3 linked regions of the Notamacropus eugenii genome follow. The protein of the gene in region 2 purifies or fractionates together with the protein of the main gene of each other region. This does not show direct contact. Links are inferred from orthologs where the notes say so. Each region holds a gene or a part of one and is shown on either strand. Other genes may lie near its edges.

Evidence for each region.
Region 1: the proteins of NDUFA13 (region 2) and NDUFAF1 purify together in Homo sapiens (co-immunoprecipitation; 3 studies listed by BioGRID and IntAct, counting the BioPlex papers as one, with this or other methods). This does not show direct contact. The link is inferred for Notamacropus eugenii from reciprocal best matches to the Homo sapiens genes NDUFA13 and NDUFAF1.
Region 3: the proteins of NDUFA13 (region 2) and NDUFAF4 purify together in Homo sapiens (co-immunoprecipitation; 4 studies listed by BioGRID and IntAct, counting the BioPlex papers as one, with this or other methods). This does not show direct contact. The link is inferred for Notamacropus eugenii from reciprocal best matches to the Homo sapiens genes NDUFA13 and NDUFAF4.

Annotation. Positions count from the first base shown.
Region 1 is NC_092878.1:27,496,313-27,503,971, forward strand, and holds the start of NDUFAF1 (complex I intermediate-associated protein 30, mitochondrial), read right to left. Parts: upstream 3,051-7,659; 5' UTR 2,681-3,050; intron 1,342-2,680; 5' UTR 1,266-1,341; coding exon 681-1,265; intron 1-680. UniProt on the Homo sapiens protein: As part of the MCIA complex, involved in the assembly of the mitochondrial complex I.
Region 2 is NC_092875.1:55,807,913-55,815,198, forward strand, and holds the start of NDUFA13 (NADH dehydrogenase [ubiquinone] 1 alpha subcomplex subunit 13), read left to right. Parts: upstream 1-4,263; 5' UTR 4,264-4,381; coding exon 4,382-4,475; intron 4,476-7,286. Other genes in the region: TSSK6 (testis-specific serine/threonine-protein kinase 6), read right to left, coding at 2,712-3,530. UniProt on the Homo sapiens protein: Accessory subunit of the mitochondrial membrane respiratory chain NADH dehydrogenase (Complex I), that is believed not to be involved in catalysis. Complex I functions in the transfer of electrons from NADH to the respiratory chain.
Region 3 is NC_092873.1:173,177,610-173,185,532, forward strand, and holds the start of NDUFAF4 (NADH dehydrogenase [ubiquinone] 1 alpha subcomplex assembly factor 4), read right to left. Parts: upstream 3,051-7,923; 5' UTR 2,910-3,050; coding exon 2,774-2,909; intron 710-2,773; coding exon 606-709; intron 1-605. UniProt on the Homo sapiens protein: Involved in the assembly of mitochondrial NADH:ubiquinone oxidoreductase complex (complex I). May be involved in cell proliferation and survival of hormone-dependent tumor cells. May be a regulator of breast tumor cell invasion.

The sequences.
Region 1 (7,659 bases), on a different chromosome or scaffold from region 2:
GATGTTGCAGAGGTAAGCCAGACAAGACTTGGCAACTATCTGGAAATAGGAAAGTCAATAAGAAGGAAGAGTACAGGATGACCCCAAGCTCAAACTTCAGAGTAGCGATATGATACAACACAAACTGAAGCAAGTAAGTTCCTGCCAGTGTGTCTCCCGATCTGCTAAGAATTATCCAAGTGCAACCCAAACCAAGTGTGGGAGTCTGGTGCAGGACAGCCCTAACCAATTCCCAGTCTGATAATTCCTCAGAAGATCCTGAAGATCTGGACTCCCTCTAAGAAGAGCCAGAGGTGGGCGGGTGGAGGGATCCTACTTTAAAGCTGAGTCAGGGGCCCACAAAACACATACTCAAATCTTCATCCACCTTTTCTAAAACCACCCTGGATACACTGGGCTTTTCTGATACTGGAATGATCTACTCTGGCCCAAATGACCAAGCTAGAAAATAAGGGCTAGTCAACTAGTAATTTGGGACTTTCTAAGAATGCTTTTAAGCTTTAAGAATGCTTTTTTCCCTTTAATTTCAGTGGTGTAAATGTGTCCCTCAGTATAAATTAGAGTCCTCTGCTCAGGATACTCTGTGTATTTCCCTCACCATAAATAAAAGCAATGTGCTACCATGGAGACTGCAGAGAAGGGGACTTCAGAGAGCCAAAGAGCTTGACTATCTCACCTACCCTTGGAATCCTGGATGTCAGTGCACAGTATCCACTTCGTTGAGTCTCCCCATCATGAGGAATTTCAGTATTGAGAATCCCATAGAAGAGTGCGCTTTGGTTATTGCTGGCCATTTTCAGGAAGGCTTTGCTTCTGCCTCCTATTGTCCTGTCCGATGTCACCAGCCACTTATTCAAATCTTCATCACTGCGAAACTGCCACATTACCCTAGTATTTTCCAGTAAAACTTGATGCAAAGGGCGACCTTCAGGTCCTATCCAACGGTCTACCACCTCCTTTGCTAAAAGTTTAAAATGGTCTTTTATCTCAGCCCTAATTGCTTTGTCAAAAATAATTTCAACCTTTTCCTTAGGTGAAATTAGGTCTAAACCAACCTCACCCTTAGTTTGTTTTTCCAATATGCCTTCAGTCTTTTCCTCAGGGGAAGATCTATCTGAAGCAGCCTCTGTTTTTTTAATACTACTGTACAGTCGGGAGGGAGAATCAGAAAATCCAGGCCCCAACAAAAAGCATCGTGCAGTATCTTGCATCCCGCATAATTTAGGAAAATGAATGCCATTTAGCAGCTTCTGAAGTAAAGCCATGGTAGAAGCAATTCAAATCATAAAATTCTCCAGAATTTACCAGGGAAAAGATTTTCAGCTACAAGTCCAGCTCTACCTGTAACAAGAGAAAAAATACAGAAGTTACCAAATTAGCAACAAACTTATCCTGTCTTTCAAATGTAACCAGACTCTGTAAAATGCAACACAGTAACCCACACCTTCCTGAGCCTAAGGTTAACTGGAAATCTTACAATCATCTTACTAAGTTCCATAAAACATAAAGAAAATTGGGGGTGAAGCCAAGATGGTTAGGTAGAAGGAAACAATGCAAGTGGGTTCCTGTTAGTCTCTCCAAACACATCTATAAAATGTACCGAACCAAATCCTGATGGAGAAGTTCAGAAAACGTCATAGCAAGTCCTTTGCCAGGCCCAGGTCTGCACAGGCAGACAGAGAGGTTGGCACGACACTAGCAGGAGGCCATATACCAGCACCAAAGGAAGTCCCAGACCCACAATGGGGCACAGAGATGGGGACAGGTGCCAGCTGGCAGTCTAGCTGCACACGGTCCAATCCCAGGGCGACGATCCAGGACAGAATATGAAGGGTATCTGTGCACAGTAGCGCTGTTTCCCAGGAGGGAGGCCCAGGGTGGTATCAAGAAAGAAATTCAGTGGAAATTGAGGGGAATGCCCATCCATTGGGGAAAGACTGAACAAGATGTGGTATATGAATGTAATGGAATACTACTATGCTATCAGAAATGATGAGCGGGAGGACTTCTGGAAAACCTGTAGGAACTGATGCTGAGCGAGGGGGGCAGAACCAGAGAACACTGCACCCAGTTACAGCCACACTGGGTGATGACCACCTTGGACAGACTCGGCTCTTCTCAGCAACACGAATTCATGTTTAATATGAATGTCTGCGTAGAACCTACATTAGACTGCATGCCCTCTTGGAGAGGGGGCAGAAAGGGAGGGGGAGAAATTCTGGAACTCAGAGGCTCGTGGAACTGAATGCTGTAAATTAAAAATAAATGGATTTTCTAAGAAGCCAGCACCAGCAGCAGTGTGGCCCGGCGTCTGGCCCTGCCTGCAGAAGAATAACCAGGGCAGAAACCAAAGGGAGGTCTACACTTCTGCCCCTGGGAACCCCCACAACCGTCCAGCTGGCTGACAGCGGGCTGCCCCGGCTCGGACCCGAGCCCAGAGCTCTGACCAGGGGAGCGCCCCGGGGGCACTGTCCCTGAGATCCTGGGATAACACAACCCTCCGCAACCCCAGCAAGCAGGAACACTACCAGCTCTGACCTCCCCTGCCCCATCAAGTCGGAAATAGGGGATCTGAAACTCCATTAATAAAAGTCCTGGGTTCGAATTCTGCCCCCGTCATTCCCTAGTTACCACCTCTGTGACCTTGAACACGCAACCCCAGGGGCCTCGGCGTGCTCACCCGTAAAACGAGGACGTAGGGCTGGAAGACTTCTGCGTCCCTTCCAGCCACAAATCTAGGATCCTCCGAAGAATGAAGGCCACTTCCGGGCAGTGGAGACCGGCAGGCCGCAGCTTAGCTACTCGTAAGGGACCGGGAGCCCTGACATCCCCTTCCCCCGCCCAGTCTGGGGTGCGGGGCTGACCCCTAACTCTCGCGAATCAGCCTCCTTCCGAGGCCGGAAGTCCGTGGTCCGACACCTATCGCGTTCCCCCTAAGACACCTCACATGACTCTCCTTCGCTTTGCGGGCGCAGCTCACCTTCCCTCTCGATCCTCTCCCGGCTTCAAAGAGTGACTTCCGCCCGCGCCTGCGTCCTACGCAGATTAGCGTCCGCCGCCGCACGCACTCCCAAGCATAAAGAGTTCCGCCTATTGGAGATGGATGACGCCCAATCACGTCAGAGCTGGGGGTTTTTTTTAATGCCCTGCTAGAAAGATTACGTAGGACGTCCCTCTAGACTTTAGAACCGCTAGGTGGCGCAGGAGATACAGCGTTGGACACGAAGCCAGACTGACCTGAGTTCAAGTTCAGAAGGAGACCCCCTGCTGGCAGAGCCAGTCAGGGCAAACCTGTATCTGCCTCAGTGTTCTCATCTGTAAAATGGGGATGACAGGAGCACCAGCCTTCGGGAGCATATTGAGACGATCCAATGAGGTAATCGTTGTAAAGACTTTGGCAAACGTTCAAGTGCTAATTATCGTTAAAGACAGTATTCCCATGACCGTTAAAGCCTAGACCACCCCTGTGGTCCTCCACGTGCTTCAGGTTTTCTTTGGCTTTCCTTTTCCAAACTGGATTCTCTCAATTTCAATCTTTTAACAAATTTTGTTTGTTTTATTTTATTCAATTTTATCTTTTTGAGTCAAAAAATCCAATTGGTGGGCTCTCCCCCACCAATTCCATTTCCATTTTAAAAAATATTTTATTGTCTAATCAGGCAAAACCCTCCTCATCCTCCCATTTTTTTGCCTTTTAGCATTATATTAAGTTTTACAGTTTTGGGGCAATAAGCCCCAATTCTTTGCTTCCTGGAATATTATATTTCAAGTTCTTTTCTCTCCTTTTAGTTGCGGCTGCTAGTGTGTGATTCTGACTGTAGCTCCCTGGTATTTGACTTCTTTCTATTCTGGCTGCTTACAGTATTTTTTTTTCCTTTGATTTGGAAACTCTGGATTCTGACTATGAGATCCCTGGAAGTTGTCATTGGGAGGTTTCAAGAGGTGACTGCTGGATTCTTAAGAGATCTGGACAGTTTTCTTTTCTTGACATAAGACATCTAGGCTTGTTTTTTTCTGGTCATTGTGTTCAGATTCTTAATTTTTTTCTCCTCAATCCGATTTCCAGGTCAGTTGTTTTTGCTATTTTTTTCAGTATTTTTATATTTTTTAAATATATTTTTTGTTACCTCATGAAGTTATTAGCTCCTATTTGGTCTATTTTAATTTTCAAGGAGTTTGTTGATTGGGTAAAGTTTGGAAACTGTTGTACCATGCTGTTCATTCTCTTTCCAATTCTTTCTTACATGGCTGTCATTTCTTTTCCAATTTTTTCCTCAAGCACTTTTTTTTAGCCTTTAAAAGAATGTTTTTGTTATGTTAACTGTGATACAAATTTACTCTTTTCTTAAAGGAGGATGCTATTTTTTCTTTTTGATTGATTTTTCTAATCCAATTATGTTTTATTTGTAGGTCCACATTCTCTCCTTTCCAGCTAACCTCCATCCACATTCAGAAAGCAAGAAAAGTGAGATGTTACAAGCAGTAGAATCAAAAAAAGCAAATTCCTGCATTGACCATGTCCAAAAAAAGTCTCATTCTATACTCAGAGTCCATCCCCTGGTCTGTCAGGAAGTAGGTAGGAAGCTAATTTTTTAAAGAGTTTATATGCATATTATTTATTTGTTTATTTTCCAGGTGTCACTAATTTTTAAAATTTGTTTACAGCTTTCTACAATCATTTCTATAAGTCTTAGATTTTCTCCCCCTCCTTCCCCACAATGGCGTGCAATCTTATATGGGTTCTACACATACATTCTTATTAAACATATTTTCACTTTAGTCATGTTGCATAAAAAAATTAAAATGAATGGGAGAAACCATGAGAAAAACTCAAACAAAACAAAACATAACACAAGAGAGAAGAGTCTGCTTCATTCTGCGATCCAATTCCATAGTTCTTTCTCTGGATGTGGAAGGCAAGTGCTTTGATTTCATCTATAAAAACATTTTTTAATTCTTTCTTCATCTCTTCCAGGAATTCTAGTTGATTTTTTGTCCAGTCTATGTTTTTCTCTGAAACTTTACTTGTATATGTTTTTAATTCATTCTCTTTTTCTGCATTTGTGCCTTGCACTTCTCTGCCCTCATAATAGTTCATTATGATGTGGTTCTGTTTTTTGTTTGTCCATTCTTACATCCTACTTCCTGGAGGGAAGGTCCAAGCTGTTCTTATTCCTGCTTTCTTAGGTTATTGAGGGTTGTCATATTCTAGGATCTCAGGGACAGGCTGGAGAGCTGAAAGCTTTCAGTGCTCCTGTGGTGTTCCCATCCAGGGCAGAGTCTGATTGCTGCTGCTCTGATCTGAGCTCTGCAAGTTCCTGACTTGGGTTTGGGTCCAAGCAAGAGCAGCCTGCTGCTGGATTCAGCCCTTATCAGTCAGCTGGACAATTGTGGTGGTTCACAGTGGCAGAATTGTAGGTTTCTCTTTTGATCTGGGATTTCTGCCCTGGTTATTCTTCTGCAGGCGGGGCTAGATGCTGGAATTGGGTCTCTACCCTGTTCCTGGAGGCTAAACCAGGGGAGGGGAACCTGTAGCCTTGAGGCCACATGTGGCCCTTTAGATCCTTAAGTGCAGCCCTTTGACTCCAAACTTCACAGAACACAGCACAAATCTCTTTTGTTTTATAGGACAAATGTGGCCTCAAGGCTGCAGGTTTCCCATCCCTGGTTTAAGCTGTACCTCGGTTGCTGCTGCTTACTTCTGAACTGAATAAACTTTCTTCTTTCTTGGCCCACTACTCAAACACCGCTTCCATATTCAGGCTAGATTTACGACTGTGAAAGCAAGTTCCCCAACATACACAGGACAGCCTGCTATCACAGGTTCTTAGATCTACATTTCTAAAAGAAAAGCAATTTTCAGGGGTTAACAATCATTTTAACCAAGCACATATTTATCATTCATTTAGTTCAGGGGAAAAAGTCAGCACTCTAAATTTCAGAGAAAATACAGAGAAATACAGATCAACAGACAGTGCTTCCAGCTGCCCTGGCATAAGCAATACATACTTCAGAGATCAATAGACTGTCTGACCATACAAAATAGTTACCAGAGAGAGAAGCACCAACATCTGGATTTTCAAAGTGGGGGAGCTCCTTAGCAGCTGCCCAGAGTCTCCTCTGGCCAAACAAAACACTTCCAATCAGTAAGCCCCAAGGTAAAACCTCACCTCAGAGTACTTATACCTTTCTCAGAGGCAGAGGGTATCACAACCCTTGAGAACCAGTGCCTCATTACAAAAGGTGTGGGCCTTCCTACAAATCTTCCCAGGTCCATTAATGGGTGGGGAAAATCTTCTTTAATCAATCAGAGGTACTTGATTATACTAAAGAAAAAACAGCAAAAGATCCTACTTTATTTGCCATTACAATAACTCAACTAGTAGTGGGCTACAAATCTGCTAGTGGGTAAGTTTCCCCATCACAGTGCCTCAGTATGAGTCTGACATCTCCCCTTCCCCAGTACATAGCTTTCTCTTGCATATTGGAGTGCTCTGTACTAGTATGTTCCTGTCCTACTTAAGCTCAGCACATCAGTGTTTGTAAACCTCTTTCTGTCTCTCTATGCAAAGCTGGGCTGGACAGATGACTCACTGAAACTTTTTCAGGATTTTCCCATCAGGATTTTGTCTGATCCATTTTGATATATATATGTAGAGAAGAGCTCAGCTTCATCAGTTCCTACCACTTGTCATCATGGCTTCATCCTTCAATTTAATGGATTCCTCCATTTCGATTTAACAAATATGTACTAAATGCCTATGTTTAGCAAAACAAACATTTTAGGTGACTGTATCTCCTCCTGTCATTATAATTTTTGCCTTAACTACCACTTGCCCTCAGACCTGGGTGGGTATAATCCAGGACCCTTTTGCCCAAAATCCCCGCCAATAGCAACACTCCCCAAACCACTCTCTCTTCTTCCAATCCAGACGTAGTCCAGGAAGCAACCCTTGTGGAGATGACACCCATCAATAGTCCTTGAAAATTCAGTGACATCTCTACCCCCACTTCCTCAAAAACCTGAACTACTCCTAAGATTTTTATCATTATTAGGGAGGTTAAAAGGAATTTACATAGACAGAGCATATGGGCGTAAGCTGGGAAGATCATGGGAATGAGCTTACAAAAACTGAAGGGGTGGGTGAAAAAGAGGGATGCAGTAGGAGAAGAGTGAATGGAGAGGTAGAATGGAGAAAATTTTCTCACAAAAAGAGAAGCTCAAGGAAGAGCTTTTACAAGGGAAGGGAAAATGAGAGGGAGGTAGGCAATGCTTGAACCTCTCATCAGAACTGGTTAAAAGAGGGAAGAACATATACATATACATATACATACACACACATGCACACACACACACACACACATACATATATACATTTGTATACATATACATCTATACATACATATATATATCCACTCAGTAGTATATAAAAATGTAACTTACCCAATAGGGAATGGAAGGAGAAAGTGATAAGAGAGGAGTGGGGGAAGGGGAGAGATGATAAAAGGAAGGACAGATTAAGGGAGACAGTGGTTAGAAGCAAAATTGACTTTTGAGGAGGGAAAGAGAAAAAGAGAAGGAAGCAGAAGAAAATGGAATGAAAGGAAATACACAGTTAATAGTCTTAACTATGGATGTAAATGGGATGAGTTCACCCA
Region 2 (7,286 bases):
CTGTGGCCTTGTTTTCCCGATCTGTAAAATGGAGCTCATGACAACTGCATTACCTACCAGAGCTAGGGTTGCAAAGAAGGGAACAGAATATGTACTGGCGTTGTTATTGCACATTATGCCTGGCCCCCTAATTCAAAGACAAACTCCACTTGCTGGGCCTGCTCTTTTCTCTATACACATTCTCTCATCAGTTCCTAGGTTTCGACTGTCAGTTCTATGCAGATGACTCCCAGGTCTACACATCCAACCCTCATGGCTCTCCTGAACTCCAGTTTGCCTCACAACCTGTTAGTTATCTCTCCTTGTATGCCCCATACTCAACACATGCAAGACCAGCATCTTTCCCCCTAAACCTCCTCCTCCTCCTTCCTCACTTCTGTTTTTGCTCAGATCACCACCATTCTTCTAAACCTTTAGGGGTGAAAGCTAGGAGTCAAACTTGACTCACCCTTTCTCATCTCTCTGCATCTTATCAGTTGCCAAGTCTTGGCAATTTCATATCCTCAAGAAGTCAAGAAGCCTAAGTGCTCCCTCTGGCATGAAAAATCCTTCGTAATCTGGTGTCAGATGGATCTATGGATCACAGATTTCATCTCCTGCATCCTTGCACTTGGAGAGTTCTTTCTCCTTACTTCTCTGCCTCTTGCCCCTCCAGAAGACTTTCCAGGTTCAACTTTACTGCTCTCTCCTATGGGATGACTTTCCTAGTTCTTACAAACTGTTTGTACTCATCATTGTGTCATTATTTTGCATATATTCTGCCTTTATTTATCAGTTGCCTAGTGGGGAAACCCTAGCCTTTGTGGTCTAGGTCTAGCCCTCTGTAGGGATGGGCTATAAGGCTTTGCTAAGCTTGGCTGGAGGTTTCAAACATGGGAAGTAAAGCTCTGTAGGTTGAGGGCTTTTAGACTAAAGCATGCCCACAAAATTTGAACTCTCAGAGGGCAAGGGCTGTCACTTCTGGTAATCCCAACACCTAGAACCCTGCCAAGTACACACATATTTAGCGATTGAGTCACTGGGGACAGGGAGCAGATCTCATACCATTTTGTTTTCCTAATGCCTTGTGTTAAGACGCAGTAGGTGTCCCATAAATATCTAGTGGTGTTTGGGCAAAAGGGAATTGCTGGTTTCCGTGGGAACCCCTCACTTTTTTCCTGCTCTTTTCTAGATAGTGCAGAAGATTTCTAGGGCTCTCCCCTAGATCTAGGAGACCCTGAGCTAGGTTGGCAGTCCTGGAAGTGACCCAAAGAGATACAGTACAAAGGCTTTTTCGTGCACCCTTTGCTTATCATAGGCATTAGAGCTCCGAGGGAGGTTTAGAGATGATCTAGTCCAACCCTGACATTTCTTATTTAAGGAAACAGGCCCTGGGTGATCTCCCTAAACCTCATGCCGCCTCAAAGCCCTGAGCCTGGCCTTCCAGCCCAGCAAGTTGGTAAACGCTAGTTTAAGCAGGGTCTAGCCTGCCATATGGATGGGCTACCTAAGGCCTTGCTAAGCTTGGTGGCTCACCTCAAGTGTGGGTAGTAAACAGGTAAAGGTGGTTACCTGGCTTAGGGCTTTTAAGCCAAGTTCAACCAGGGCTATTAGCTTCTTCCCCTGCTGTCTCTGCCTCCAGAACTAGGGCAAACATCTTTTTTTCCAGTGCCCTGCCCTGCTGTTAGACATCCAGTTCTTAAGATGCTGGCCATCTCACAGCTGGCTTCCTGAGCTCCGGGTCTCCCGGGAGGAGGGGCAGGAAGGGCCCTGGGGAACAGAACCCCAGCTGAGGTCACTCCGCCCCACCCTTCCCTTTCATTCCCCTCCCCCCACCGGCTAGTAAGTTTCCATTCCTTTTTTACCCCCAGTCTGCTCCCCGATCCCAGCAGGACTTGTAAAGAGGGCACAGTGATGACGGCGGGGAGTCTAAAAAGTTTTAAGTGTACGAAAGGGGCCTACGTTGGCTGTCCAAGGGCTAAATCCTTCAAATTACTCGCTCCACCACCCCGCCTATACACCCTTTCCTCCCAGGCTAGAGGAGAGGATGGAGTTGGGCCGACAGGCAGGCAGACAAGGAAGGGTGTGGGGCGGCAAAAGTCGCTTCTGCCCCTGCCCTGCCTGCGCCTCCCCCCTACACCCCCTTTCCCCCCTTAGCCCCCCTCCTCCTAGTCGTCCAGCTACCAGAATCCGGGGTTGCTAGCAAGAGAGCGAGTTTATTGTCGGGTCCAGCGGGGTGGAGGGAGGGCCAGCGCAGGTCTCGGCCAACGGTGGGACGCCTCGAGGTCTCCGGACTGCGCTCCACCTTCGAGTAGGGGCTCTGCGGGCTTCGGCATCTCCCTCCTGCCCGGCGGAGTGTTGGCACTTTCATTCGCTCCGGGCTTTCTGCGCGGCTGGACCCTCTTTTTTTCTCGCTCTGTCCCTAGCATCTTGGTCATGCCCCTTTTCTATACCCACCCCTCGCCCGCCCCCCCATCCCCCCCCACCGCCGGGTGCCGTGGGGGGGAGGGGCGGTCTCCCGTCTCACACCCGTAGACTGGGGGGGCGGGGGGGGGCGGGAGAGAAAGGAGGAAAGGAATGGAGGGGATGAGGTCAGGAGAGCTTCCCGCTCCTCTCCCCTGGGCGCCGGGCGCCCTCGTGCCTCTCCCCTGCGCGAGATCGAGGGGGAGGGTCAGTGAGCCCGGGGAGAAGGGAGGAGAAGGAGGAGATCGGGGGCCCCACGAGGGTGGGCGCTAGCAAGCCTCGCCGCGCAGCCAGCTGTTGCGGGCCACCTGCCCGGCGGAGGGTCGCGCGGACGGGCTGAACTGCAGCAGCTCGGCGATGAGCGCCTTGCAGCGCTCGGCCAGCTCCAGGCCGTCGGGGTAGAGGACGCCGCGCTTCTGGCGGCGGGGCAGGCCCGCGATGTCCGAGTCGTCGAAGGGCATGCAGCCGGTGACCATGACGTAGAGTACGACGCCCAGGCTCCACACGTCGTACTTCTTGGGGTCGTAGGGAATGCCCAGGAGCACCTCGGGAGACGCGTAGGCGGCCGAGCCGCAGTAGGTGGTGCTGAGGTCCGGGTAGCCGTGCGCCTGGCGTCCGAAGCCGAAGTCGGTGAGCTTGATGCGCCGCTCGTCCGGGCTCAGCAGCACGTTCTCGCATTTGAGGTCGCGGTGCACCAGGTGGTGGTCATGCAGGTAGCGCACGGCGCCCACGATCTGGCCGAAAAGCTCGCGCGCCTGGGCGCACGGGATGTGCCCGCTGCGCTGCACCACCTGCAGCAGGTCGGTGCCGGCGGCCTCCATGACGATGTACAGTTTTCCGTTGCACACTTCGATGAACTCGAAGACGTGCACGATGTGCGGGTGGCGGATGCCGCGCAGGATGGACAGCTCCCGGGGCAGAAACTTGTTGACGAAGTCCGGGGGGGCTCGCCGTCGGTCCACCACCTTGATGGCCACCGTGCCCTTGTACTTCTTGGAGGTGGCCACTTTGACCTTGGAGTAGCTCCCCTCCCCGATGGTGCGGCCCAGCTTGTATCCCAGCTCATTCAAGAGTTTGTCTCCAGACATGATGGACGGGGCGAGAGCGTCGGGAGGGTTTTCCGAATTTCGATTTGGGGCTTAACCCATGGCGCTTGGCACCCACAGACCTTGACCCCCATGTGCCCACTCCTGCCCCGGGGTTCCCCGCCGCCCTTTATCGCCCAGGTAACAATTTCCGCCTTGTGAAGTGACTGAGGGCGTCACGGGCCGCAGGGAGGCTGCCGCATGTGTCCTGGCTCTGCACGCCGGGGCCCGTTTTGTGACGTGATGGAGATGGAGATGCTGCCGTGGTAAGGGATGGCAAGACGCCCAGACCCGTAGCCTGGTTGGACGTGAGGCTGGGTCCTCCGAGGGATGTTGGGGACCGGCATCCCCAGGCAGGGTAACGCTGAGGCGGCACCCCCCCTTGGCGGCCATGGGCCAGGAGGTGCTGGGCCTTCAGAGCTGGCTAGCCCAGCCCCTTGTTTTATTAAGGAGTAAACTATGGGGAGCTCAAACTGGCCGGGGGGGGGTCAAGGTCAGCGGTGGGGCCGGTTTGGGACTGGATCCCTGCTGCGCTAACTCCTAGGGGCACCCCTTAAAACCCTAACGCCGTTAACGGAGCTGCCTCCAGAAGTGCTTTGCAAACTTTAAAAAGCTGCTTCAACGTCAGACGGTACTACCATTACTGGGCGGGTGCGCCAGTGGGTGCCGGAGGGGGCGTTCCTTGGCTCCACCCTCCCCTCTCCGACGTGGAGCGCCCGCCCCTTTAAGACCTTCTCTGCAGTAGCTTCCGCCACTCTCTAGATGGCGGAGCGGGCTCGCGCCCCTTGACGTCATTTCCGGCTTCTTCCGTCCGGCGCGGGTCCTCGCCGTCGGAAGTGCCTTGGGCTGGCAAGATGGCGGCGTCCAAGGTGAAGCAGGACATGCCCCCGCCAGGGGGCTACGGTCCCATCGATTACAAGCGGAACCTGCCCCGTCGGGGAATCTCGGGTCAGTGGTTCGTGGAGGAGGCGGGGCCCCGCTCTTACCCTTAGCGGCTTAGCTGGAGGGCCCCAAGCGTGGGGAGGGGGCAGGGCACCCCCGGCGCCCCGAGGTTGCCCGGACCGGAGCCCCTCGTTCCTCCCCATTCTTCAGAAGCCCCAGAGAGCTTAGAACACGGTGTCAGAGTCAGGAGCGCCCCTAGAACCCAGAGGCCGAGGAGTCCCAGGTTTCCCAGCGCGGGGTGATGGGCTTGGGGCTAGAGACGGAGCTTCTCAGACGGGGACAGCTGGTCAGCGTCTTCTCTTGCCTAGAGTCTTGCCAGCAGAAATGAGAAAGAGATCAGCGACCGTTCTGGGGTCCGAGCCCAGACTTTAAACCTGCAGAGGTCATTTGCTTAAACACCTGGTGAGGCTGAGAGAGTACGCTATATATACTCTTCTCCTGTCTCTCCATTTTATTTTTTATACGTTGTAGGGCACTGCCACTCGTGTAAGACTGTCACTGTAAGGGATTACCTGATCTCTGCAATCCTGCAGTGGATTTCTCCTTTCACTGTATCTACCAGTCGTTTGGAGATAACTGCACGTGTATCTGCCTAGCTAACTAGCTACTACTATTGGAAATATAGCTAGTAGTAGTGCAGTATAGGAAGATGAGTACCAGACATGGGAGGGGGGTGCCTGCAGGCAGGGGACTTGCAATCAGAAAGTGAATCTGAGTGCAGATCTTACTTCAGACACCTGGCTGTGTGAACCCTAAGCAAGCACCTTAACCTCTCGTTCTAATTTCCTCATCTGTGGCTGTGAGAATAAAATGAGACTATGTGGAAAGTGGTTTGAAAACCTTAAAGCGCTGTATAATAGCTATGGTTGTTCATAATGGCAGAAAAGAACAGTAATTCATTAGAAAAAACATTAGATAGACATCTGACCCAAGCACTGGGAAATGGAGATCCTAACCTAAGGAGGTAAATTTGACTTTGCATGCAGAGGACTCCCAGATATCTACCTAGACCTGCTTTCTATTACCAGCTTTATTAGACGGTTCAAGCTGGAAGACCTGTAAGATTCTCCCAATCAGCATGTCTGAAACAAAATTCATTCCTTCCCTAGTTACCCATGGTTTCCACCTTGGAGTCCTCATTTGATTTTTCCTTGCCCCATTATTTGCCGAGTCTTTATTCTCTCCCATATTTCTCTGAGTGTTCTTTTGCTTTGTTGTTGGGTTGTTTCAGTCACGTCCGGCTCTTTGTGACCCCATTTGGCATTTTCTTGGCAAAGAGACTGGGGATGGTTTGCCATCTCCTTCTCTGGCTCATTTTACAGATGAGGAACTGAGATGAACAGTGGCTTGCCCAGAGTCACACAGCTAGTAAGTGTGTGAGTCTTCCTGATTCCTCATCAGTGCTTTGTGTACTCTGGCACCACCTAGCAGCCCTGTTCCTCTTATTTCCAGTCGTAGCCACCATTCTCGTTCATGCCCTCCTCACCTCAATCTTTGGGCCCCTTGTCTTTTCATTGCTTATTCCATACCAACCTCCTGACCTGTATTCCTCTCATCATTTACCTCCATTTCTCTTACATGCTGCTGGTTGAAGCTAGAGGAATCATGCAAGTGCACTGAATGGGGGGACTACATATGTGTTACCTAACCTCAGCTGAGTCCTCACTGTAGTAAGGCAATCCTTTTTATTTCTTACTAATTGATTTCCTCTCACCATCCTCATTGGAGCTATAGCAGATAGCTCAGGCCTCCCAGACCTTCCTCTCCTCCTCTCTAAGATGACAACTTTACTTCTTTACTTAGAAAATTGAGGCCATTTACTTGAGTTTCCTCCTTCCCTTCTCTTCTTAAAGCCCCTTCACATCATCCCCTATTCTCTTTTCCTTTTCTCTAATCTCTGATAATGAGATGGCTCCTTTCCCCAAGTCTTAACCTCTACCTGTGCCCTTGTTCCCATCTTTGCCCTCCAGCTAATTGCCTTCTCATTTGTCAGCCTCCTCTGTTTGGTCTTCACCCTTTTTCTTAGGTCTCCTCCATCTTTAGAAATCCTCCACTAGACTCTACCACACCAGTTAGCTATGATCCTGTATTTCTCTTCCTCTTCTCAGTTAAAGTTCTTAGGCCATCTAAACCAGATACCTCTATTTCCTCTGCTGCTCCTGTCCTTCTTGACTCCAAACATCTCTCTGAAGTGGTCTAATTGCCAAATCTGGTGTTGTGATCTTTAGGCCAATTTGACTGGACCATCAAGTGTGTTTAATGTTTAAGAAGTGTAAGGTAGATTCTGACTGAAAAGTTTTAAATGTTTGATGGAAAAGTTTATGTTCAATCCTAGAGGTAATAGAGAGCCACTGGGGGGATGGGAAGAAGAGGGAGAGGGAGAAAGGGAGAAAGAGACAGAGTGGAGAGAGAAAGAGAGATTGATTTTGTGTGAGAGAGAGTGTGTGTGTGTGTGTGTGTGTGTGTGTGTGTGTGTGTGTGTGTGTATGTGTGTGTGTTGTGTTAGGACAGTTGTCTGTCCTGGTCATATCTGAACTTGAGGAAAATCATTTTGGCAGCTGTGTGGAGGAGGGATTGGAATGCAGAGAGACTTGGGAAGGAGACCACTTAGGAGGTTGTTATTGCAGTAATAAGTGAGAGATGATGGAAGACTTGAACCATCATGGTAGCTATATGAGGAGAGAGAGAGAGAGAGAGAGAGAGAGACGAACTCAGAGAGTTCTTATGGAGAAAGAAATGACAAGGTTTGGCAGATGATTGGCCACATGGGATGAGAGTGGGGGTTCAGGGATGGTGCTGAAGTTGGGGGGTGGGATT
Region 3 (7,923 bases), on a different chromosome or scaffold from region 2:
GTTATACATGTATACCACATAGGTTCATACATATATGAATGCTTACAAACATCAAGAACATGTGTATACGTTTATGTATGTGCATATCACTCTCAATACATGTGACCCTCCAAATAATTTTGAGCACCTGACTGTTCCAATGCTGGGAAAAAAAAACCTTCAGGGATAAAAGCATCACCTTTCCCTTTTGCTGGACTAAGTAAGGAACTAAAAGATAGGAAAAGCAGAAGAGAAAATTGTTCTTTCTCTTCCATCAAGGAGTCTCTACTAATTATCCCACAAGGACAAGGTAATCTGAAACAGCTGAATTATGAGAATTATATCTAACCAATGTTTTTATAAATTTTTTTTAAATTTCTGAACATGATGAAGCGAACTGCTATTTTTCTTCCCTAGAACTCTTTCTTGAGGGTTCTGTGGAACAAAGAGCTGCTGCTATACTCAGAGGCATACACACAGATGTAAAGTCCTTTGTTATAGCAGTTACTTGTTACCACATTTTCCATAGGTGTGCATTTGGAACAGGCAGAGACTGGAACTAAATATAACAATCTGGAGCCTTCAAAGGTTATATAAAGTGCCAATAAATAAAAAATGACAGTTACCCGCACATGTGGAACAGGATCTTTGGACTCAACATACACTTCTTTTAACAACGTGAGCAGCTTATCATCTTTTCTTTTAACTATTTCCTCTAATTCTGGATGGCCTAAAGGGAAAGGAAGAAAGGAGAGACAATTACAAACAAACAAAACCAAAACAAACCCAGGCAATGTATCTACTCAGACACTATACAGTCATCATTGAAGGGCAGCTAGGTGTTGCAGTGGATAGAGTACCAGTGCAGGAGTTAGGAGGACCTGAGTTCAAATCCCACCTCAGACACTTGACACTCACTAGCTGTGTGACCTTGGGCAAGTCACTTAACCCCAGTCGCCTCATCCTGGGTCATCTCCAGTCATCCTGATGAATATCTGGTCACTGCATTCAGATGGCTCTGGAGGAGAAGTGAGGCTGGTGACCTGAGCAGTCCTCCCTCCCTCCAAACAAAGTCAAGTGCAAGTCATGTCATTATTTCTCTGATGGCACGATCTTCTTCTGGCAACGAATGATGAACACACATACAGCCATCATTATTAACACTCTCTACCAACACCCTCTCCCACAACAAACAAACACAAAAACCCCACTGAATGAGAAAAACAAAAATTCTTAAGAAAATCTGAAACTCAAAATAGTGTTTCAGACTCGGAGTTCAGTACTTGTGTCAAATTCCATAGAAATAATGTACCAAATAATATTACATATTATCATATAATGATCATTACATATCATTAACATATAATCATTAGCATATAATGATATATGATAATATAGAACACAATGGAATATAACATAACTGGTTAACTTATGCGAAGATTTGCTTCTCACATAGTTGTATATCATCCACATTTGAATCATTTAAAGGTTCTAAATACTTATGATATAAAAATCTAAGTGTCAAAGAAACTTTCTGTCTTTGTATACTCAGCACTAAGCACAGTGCCTAGTACATGGAGCTCTTAATAATGCTTGCTGGTTGACTGAAACCTAAATAATTACAAAAGTGCTGGCCTGGAATCCGAGATCAAGTCTCTGGGTCTCAGTTTCCCCATCTGTAAAACAAAGGGCCTGCATAAGATGACCTCTGCAGTTCCTTAGACCTAGCTATTAGTCTATAAAACTGGAATTAAAAGCATCGCTGTTAAACTCCAAGCTAGAGGACTGGGAACTACATTTCCTAGCATGCACCACTCCGAATCTCTGCGATTGGACAAACGCACAGGGTCCAAAGATCAACTAATTTTTCCAGCGGAGGATTTGTAACATTAAAGGGGCGGGTAAGGGACGGAGTTTCAATGTCATTATGGCTACACCTTCCTAAGCAAGCTGGGCCGCAACTTTTATCTGGTGTTTCAAACTTCCCTCCTCTAAGATTTCTGCAGTTCACAGAAGAATCCGGCCTTTCCCCCTGCGGGAAATAAAATAAGCTCAAGGTCGCTGACCAGACCCGGGGTGGAGGTGGGGCTGGGGGGTACCTTTCTACACTTAACTTTTAGTGTCAAGGGCTTCTCTTAATCCTCCTACGGCCCGCTTCTGAGAACGCCTTTCTAAGGCACACAAAAACACGCCGGTTTACAAAGGAACAAACAGGTATCCAAACTTGAAAAAGACAAAACCAACCAAAACAAGGGCACGGTTACCGGGTCAGCGGGGGCAGTTTTAAGGGCACCGGCTCCAGGGTCGGGGTTCACATCCATCCCTCGGACGCTTTACCACCTGGGTGACCTTGGGCAGGTTACTTCAGCCTCCCCAGGCCTCGGTTTCTACCTCTCAAAAAGAAAAGGCGTGGGGGTGGGGAGCCCAGCACTCCCTAAGAGCCCTTCTGGCCCCAAATCTAGGACCTACCACGACTGCCACCCCAATCCACAGGAAGCCTTCCCCAAACCCGGGGCTTTTCCTCTTTCGATTATTCCCTATTTATCCTGCATACGGCCTCTTGGTACATATTTACTTCCACGCCGCCTCCCCCATGGGATGGTAAACTCCCTGGAGGCAGGTGGGTATTCGCAGCGTTTGGCGCGATGGGGAGCACACAGTAGGCGCTTGCTGAACACCTACTGGACTGAACAGAACTGAATCCAACGCCACCGACACTGCAGCTGTGCTCCGCGACCAGACAGGCGTCTCCCCACCCCCACCCCTGGGACGGCTGCCCTCCGGGACTACTCACGGCGGACTTCCTCCAGGATCAGGGTCCTGGTTCTGGGGTGCATGGGGGCAGCAGACGGCTTCTCCTTGCTGATCTCCCTCTCGGCCCGGTTTTCCAGGTTGAAGTTCCGGAAAGCGCGGGTCACCCTGGCCCCCATCTCGCTCTCAAACCATGATGCCCCAGCTTCGGAACCCGCCAGCACGTGGAGCGCTCCCGGCAGTCACCTTTCTAACCAGCCGGGCACTGCGGAGTACGCATGCGCGGGCCTTGAACAAGCCGGGCTACGCGACCCGGAAATGAGAAAGCGGCACTTCCGACAGCGCCCCCTGGCGCCTCGGAAGCAGCTTGCTTCCTTCCTTGCTTCCCACTGTGACATCTCCTTCCTTTCCACGCCCAGAGGTTGTGAGCATCTTAGAAATGCCCTAGAAATGATCAGAACCCAGAGAATGCTGCATACAGTTAACTGTTTTGTGTTAACAATTATGTTAATTTTTATGTTGTTGTAACATAAATAATGATTTATGTTAACTATTGTATATAGCAATATTGTTTTAAGAATACTTTGAGCGAATAAGTTATTTTGTCCATTATAAACACTCAAATTAAGTATAAAGAACATATGAAGAAAGACTGCATCCAGAGAAAGAAGTGATAAAGAGAAGTATGTGCAGAATAATTTTACATATGTGTATACCCATTTGTGTCTAATGGTAGCCATCTCTAGGGCGGGGAGGAACAAAAGGAACTTACATGATCACCTTGTTCCATATTTGAAAGCTGTGCATAGTAGATATGCAGTGTCCTGTACGATCTTTACTGTATGTTATGGAAATGGCTGTTTTATTCCATAAATTAAATTGAAAAAGAAAGAAATGACTCTTGATTGAGGTGCAGAAGAAGGTTTTATATCTTCCTTCTTTCCTTGACACAGCTATTAAAAAGTGTTAAGAAGTGTCCTTCAGTACAAGCCCCTCCAAAGCCCATAGAAAGACGGTGACTTTCTGGAGGTCAGAGGGTAGTGAATGAGTGGCAAAGCAGAGGTGTGAACCCAGGCAAGGTCCCCGACTCCTCCAAATCCAACCCTCCCCCCCAGCACACTGTAAGTTCTTCCAAAGCTGGAACCCTTGAAATCTTTTTCTTTGTAATCCCAGCTCCTATGACAGAATCTGACATAGTATTTAATAAAGGCTTGTTGACTGACTGATTGACACATAGTTTTCTATTCTAATAGACATTTTTGAGATTGATTTGGGAATTTGTTTTGCTTGACAATACATAACTATATACATATATTATGCATATTCAGTATCTATATATACATATACAGCATATGTAGCATACATATACATAATATATAATCTATAGTCTTTATGCATATATACCTAGTATATATATAATATACATGTTATCCAGTATACATATGCAAGGATTATACATATGCAAATATAAGCAGTAGTCATGTGTACATACATGTATCCATATGTGTGTATATATATCAGGACATGGGTTTATACATCGGGTAACTATGTATACACATGTATATACTTTATACATTTATATGGTCAAGCGAAACACATTCCCAAACTGACCTCTTAAAAAACTGACACACATATAAATTTTTACCAAAGCTTTTTCTTTTTCTTTTCAGGTGAGAGCAAGAAATGGAATGCTGGACCTGGAGTCAAGTAGATTTATCTTTGTGAGTCCAAATCCAGCCTCAGACACTAGGTATCTGACCTTGGGCAAGTCACTTAATTCCTGTTTCCCTTGGTTTCCTCATCTGTAAAATGGGCATAATAACAGCACCTGGTGGGGAGTTATTGTAAAGATCAAATAAGGTAATTGTTGTAAGGCACTTAGCACAGTGCCTGGCACATAGTAAATGCTATACAAATGTTATCATCATTTCCCATAGGGGTTGAGAAAATTAACTTTTTATTAAAGAATAAAATTTTAAAAATTGCTTTCTATTTGATGCCCTACTTCTTCACTCTTTTATTTCTCTAGTTCACTCCTTTCCTAGTTCCCTTTCCAGACATAGATCTGGATGACTATCATTCTGAACCCTTTCTTCGCTTAATTTCTTAGTCTTAATTCTATTTCCTTCCTAGGTTCTTTTCCAGGCCTTCAGGTTTTATTTTTTTCTACTTTGTTTTTGCTCATTTGCAGTGCCAGGTTCAGAGATTTAAACCCCAAACTCTTTAATTGTTTTTATACTTTCCTCTCTCTCTCTCTCTCTCTCTCTCTCTCTCTGTCTTCCTGTCTTTCTGTATCTCTGTCTCTGTCTTCTCTCAGCATTTCCTGTTCTCTTACTGAAAATGAAGTAAGGAAAAAAAGGAAAGGAATAGGTACTTATAAAAAGTTATGTGACAGGCACTGTGCTAAGTGCTTTTTACAAATCTAATTTGATAAGGATGATTTGATTATCTCATTTGATAAGGATGTAGATATAGATTGGGGAAATGTTTACTAATTTATGTTACTTTGCTATCACTTGGTTTTGTCTCTCTAATATACATATTATGTAATACTATGTGTCATGACTCATTAGTGTCTCATTCCCCACTAGACTAAGTTCCTTGAAGGCAGAAGCCTCTTTATTTTTTAAAACTTTTCTAACCTAACACAGTGATGATATTCACACAGTAGGCACTTAATGCTTTTTTGATGAATTACTTCATGTCTCATTACAATACTTCTATTTGAATAAAAGAACTGCTAAGAGATTTGTAAGCTTACGAAGTAGAAAAAAAATCAATGTGAGAAAAACAGGGACATGTTAAGAAACAAGCAATATTTTTAAAAGTTGCAGATGACTTTTCCACTGGAATAATCAGCTATGTCTAGAGGAAAATGGTGGTGTTTATTTTTGTTTTGTATTTTTTCCTGCCTAATAGCTTTAATTTGCTTTCCCTCACCCCTTTGGGACTCTGGATTAAAAATGTTTAGTTGTATTGTTAAATAATTGTGAATTCCTAATAACAACAAAAGTGCTACCAAAATATGAATTTCCATAATCCATTATGTTGCCATTTTTCCACATTAGTATTCATTAACTATGGGGTCCAGAATCATTCTGTTTGGGTTATTTGGGAAAATATCCTGAAGGTGGCAGACTGGTCCAAGGTTTCTTCTATCATTCTGACTTCCAATCAAGACTTGTGAATAAAACACAAATCTTAGTTGACCTAAGTCCCCTTTGAGTGTGTGGCCTCATCAAATAGTATGCATTTAATAAATGCATTTCCCCTATCATGACCTTCTCTGTTTAGGACACTAGTAGCAATTCTTCTCCAGTGGTTTCTGTTTTGTTTTATTTTGATTCTGTCACAGTTGGAAGTGGGGGTGGGGGGAGGATAGGGGTAGAAGTATAGAAATTGAGTTGAAAGGCAATATCTGCAGGAATCTCAGGAGGCTTCCAATGAATCATCACAGAAATATTTTATACTTTCCTCTCATTTTTTGCATATAGGTAGAATATAAAAGTTAAAACTAAAAGTAGAGGTACTCCAACAGGAACATCTAACTAGCTGACCCCATCCTCAGACAAAGAGATGAGCCATTAAAACACATTTCTATGACTTCCTGCCAAAATTCATAAATTGTTGGCATTAGTTCCCACTAACAATAATTGTTTTTAATAACTGGTGCGGTTTTATTTTTTGTTTTTTGCATCCCTTGCGCTCAAGATAGTCTTTGTCTAGTTAAGTGCTTGATAAATGGTTACCTGAGATCATATGATCTCAGAGATGTAGTCATTTCTACCTGTAAACATCATAGCCCATCTTTACCTTTACCTTCGTGATTCTTAGCCATGTCCTCCCTTAAATCCTCCAAAGAGGATCTACACAATTACATTGATTCTTTCAATGCTTCTTGGATCCTAGGGCAGTACTAAAGCTGTCCAAATATTTCTCATTATGGCTTATTCCTTTTTTCTTTTCCTGTGTGGTTTCACTGATGTCTTTCATACAAGTCATCCTTTGTCACTTCCTAACAAATATATATGTATATATATTATATTTCTGATATTACTGATGAGTTTTGAGGAACTCATCAGATGGAAACTTATCAATTTTCTATGTTCTTGACACAATGTTGGATATGCCAGCCCCAAACAAGTGAGAAATAGGCCCTTGGGAAAAGGACACCCTATTGAGGTGGGCTTTCAGTCACTTTAAATTAGATGTAATCAACAACTCCTATGCAACCCAGGGTAAAAGTTGTGATCCAAAGAGGAGAAGAGGAGAGGAAGTGAGTTGGGGTGATGAAAAGTGTTGTTATTTGTTGAGAAGAAGCACATGTACATAATCCCAAATAATCCTTTGTGTATATAGAGGAGGTTGAATCCCAAACTGGCAGGTTAGCCTCAAGAAGAGGAAACTTTCTCATCTGGCACCACATTATAAGTAAAGCTATTACCAATGGTCAGATCAGGACACCCAGTATCCTCAAGTAAACGTCCAGTTTGAGCTGTGGGTAGCTTTGTATGGTCAGGAAGTTGTTACCAGATAAAGAGACTGATAGAAGCGGGCATTGTGGTTTTTGTTTCTGAATCCTCAGCACTTATCACAGTTATTCTATACTGTTTTATTAAATGCTTATTGTTTGACTGGGTTAAGCGATTACAACAGAGTTCAAGGGGCTACGTTGAACCGATTATACTAGCTAACTGCCCTCCCCAATGTCTATCATAATGTGGACCCCATAGGCAAGAATTCTTAACTTTTTCTGTGCCATCAGTATCTTTGGCAGTCTAGTGAAGTCCGTGGACCCTCTCTCAGAAATATATTTTTAAATGCATAAAACAAAGCACATAGGATTACAGAGGAAACCAAAGATTAGTGAAATTAAGACTGATTTTTTTTCCTCTTCAGGTTATGGACTTCCCTGAAATTCATGGACCCCTGGTTAAGAGCTCCTACCCCAGGGTTGCCCATACCCAGTGGAGGGTTTTTGTGTTGCCAGAGCAGCCACTCTCCCTGTTAAAATTGAACTTTCCCTAGGCGCTGTAAATGCCATTAGGGAATGTTCACTCTAGAACATCATTAAACTTTGGACTTCTATGATTTTTATCTCTTGTGGAATATTGACAGATGTTGGTTTTATTGCCTCTTGCTATACACTGTGAGCAGTGTGTTTGTAAGTCAGGGAGTTGGTGTCTGCTGATG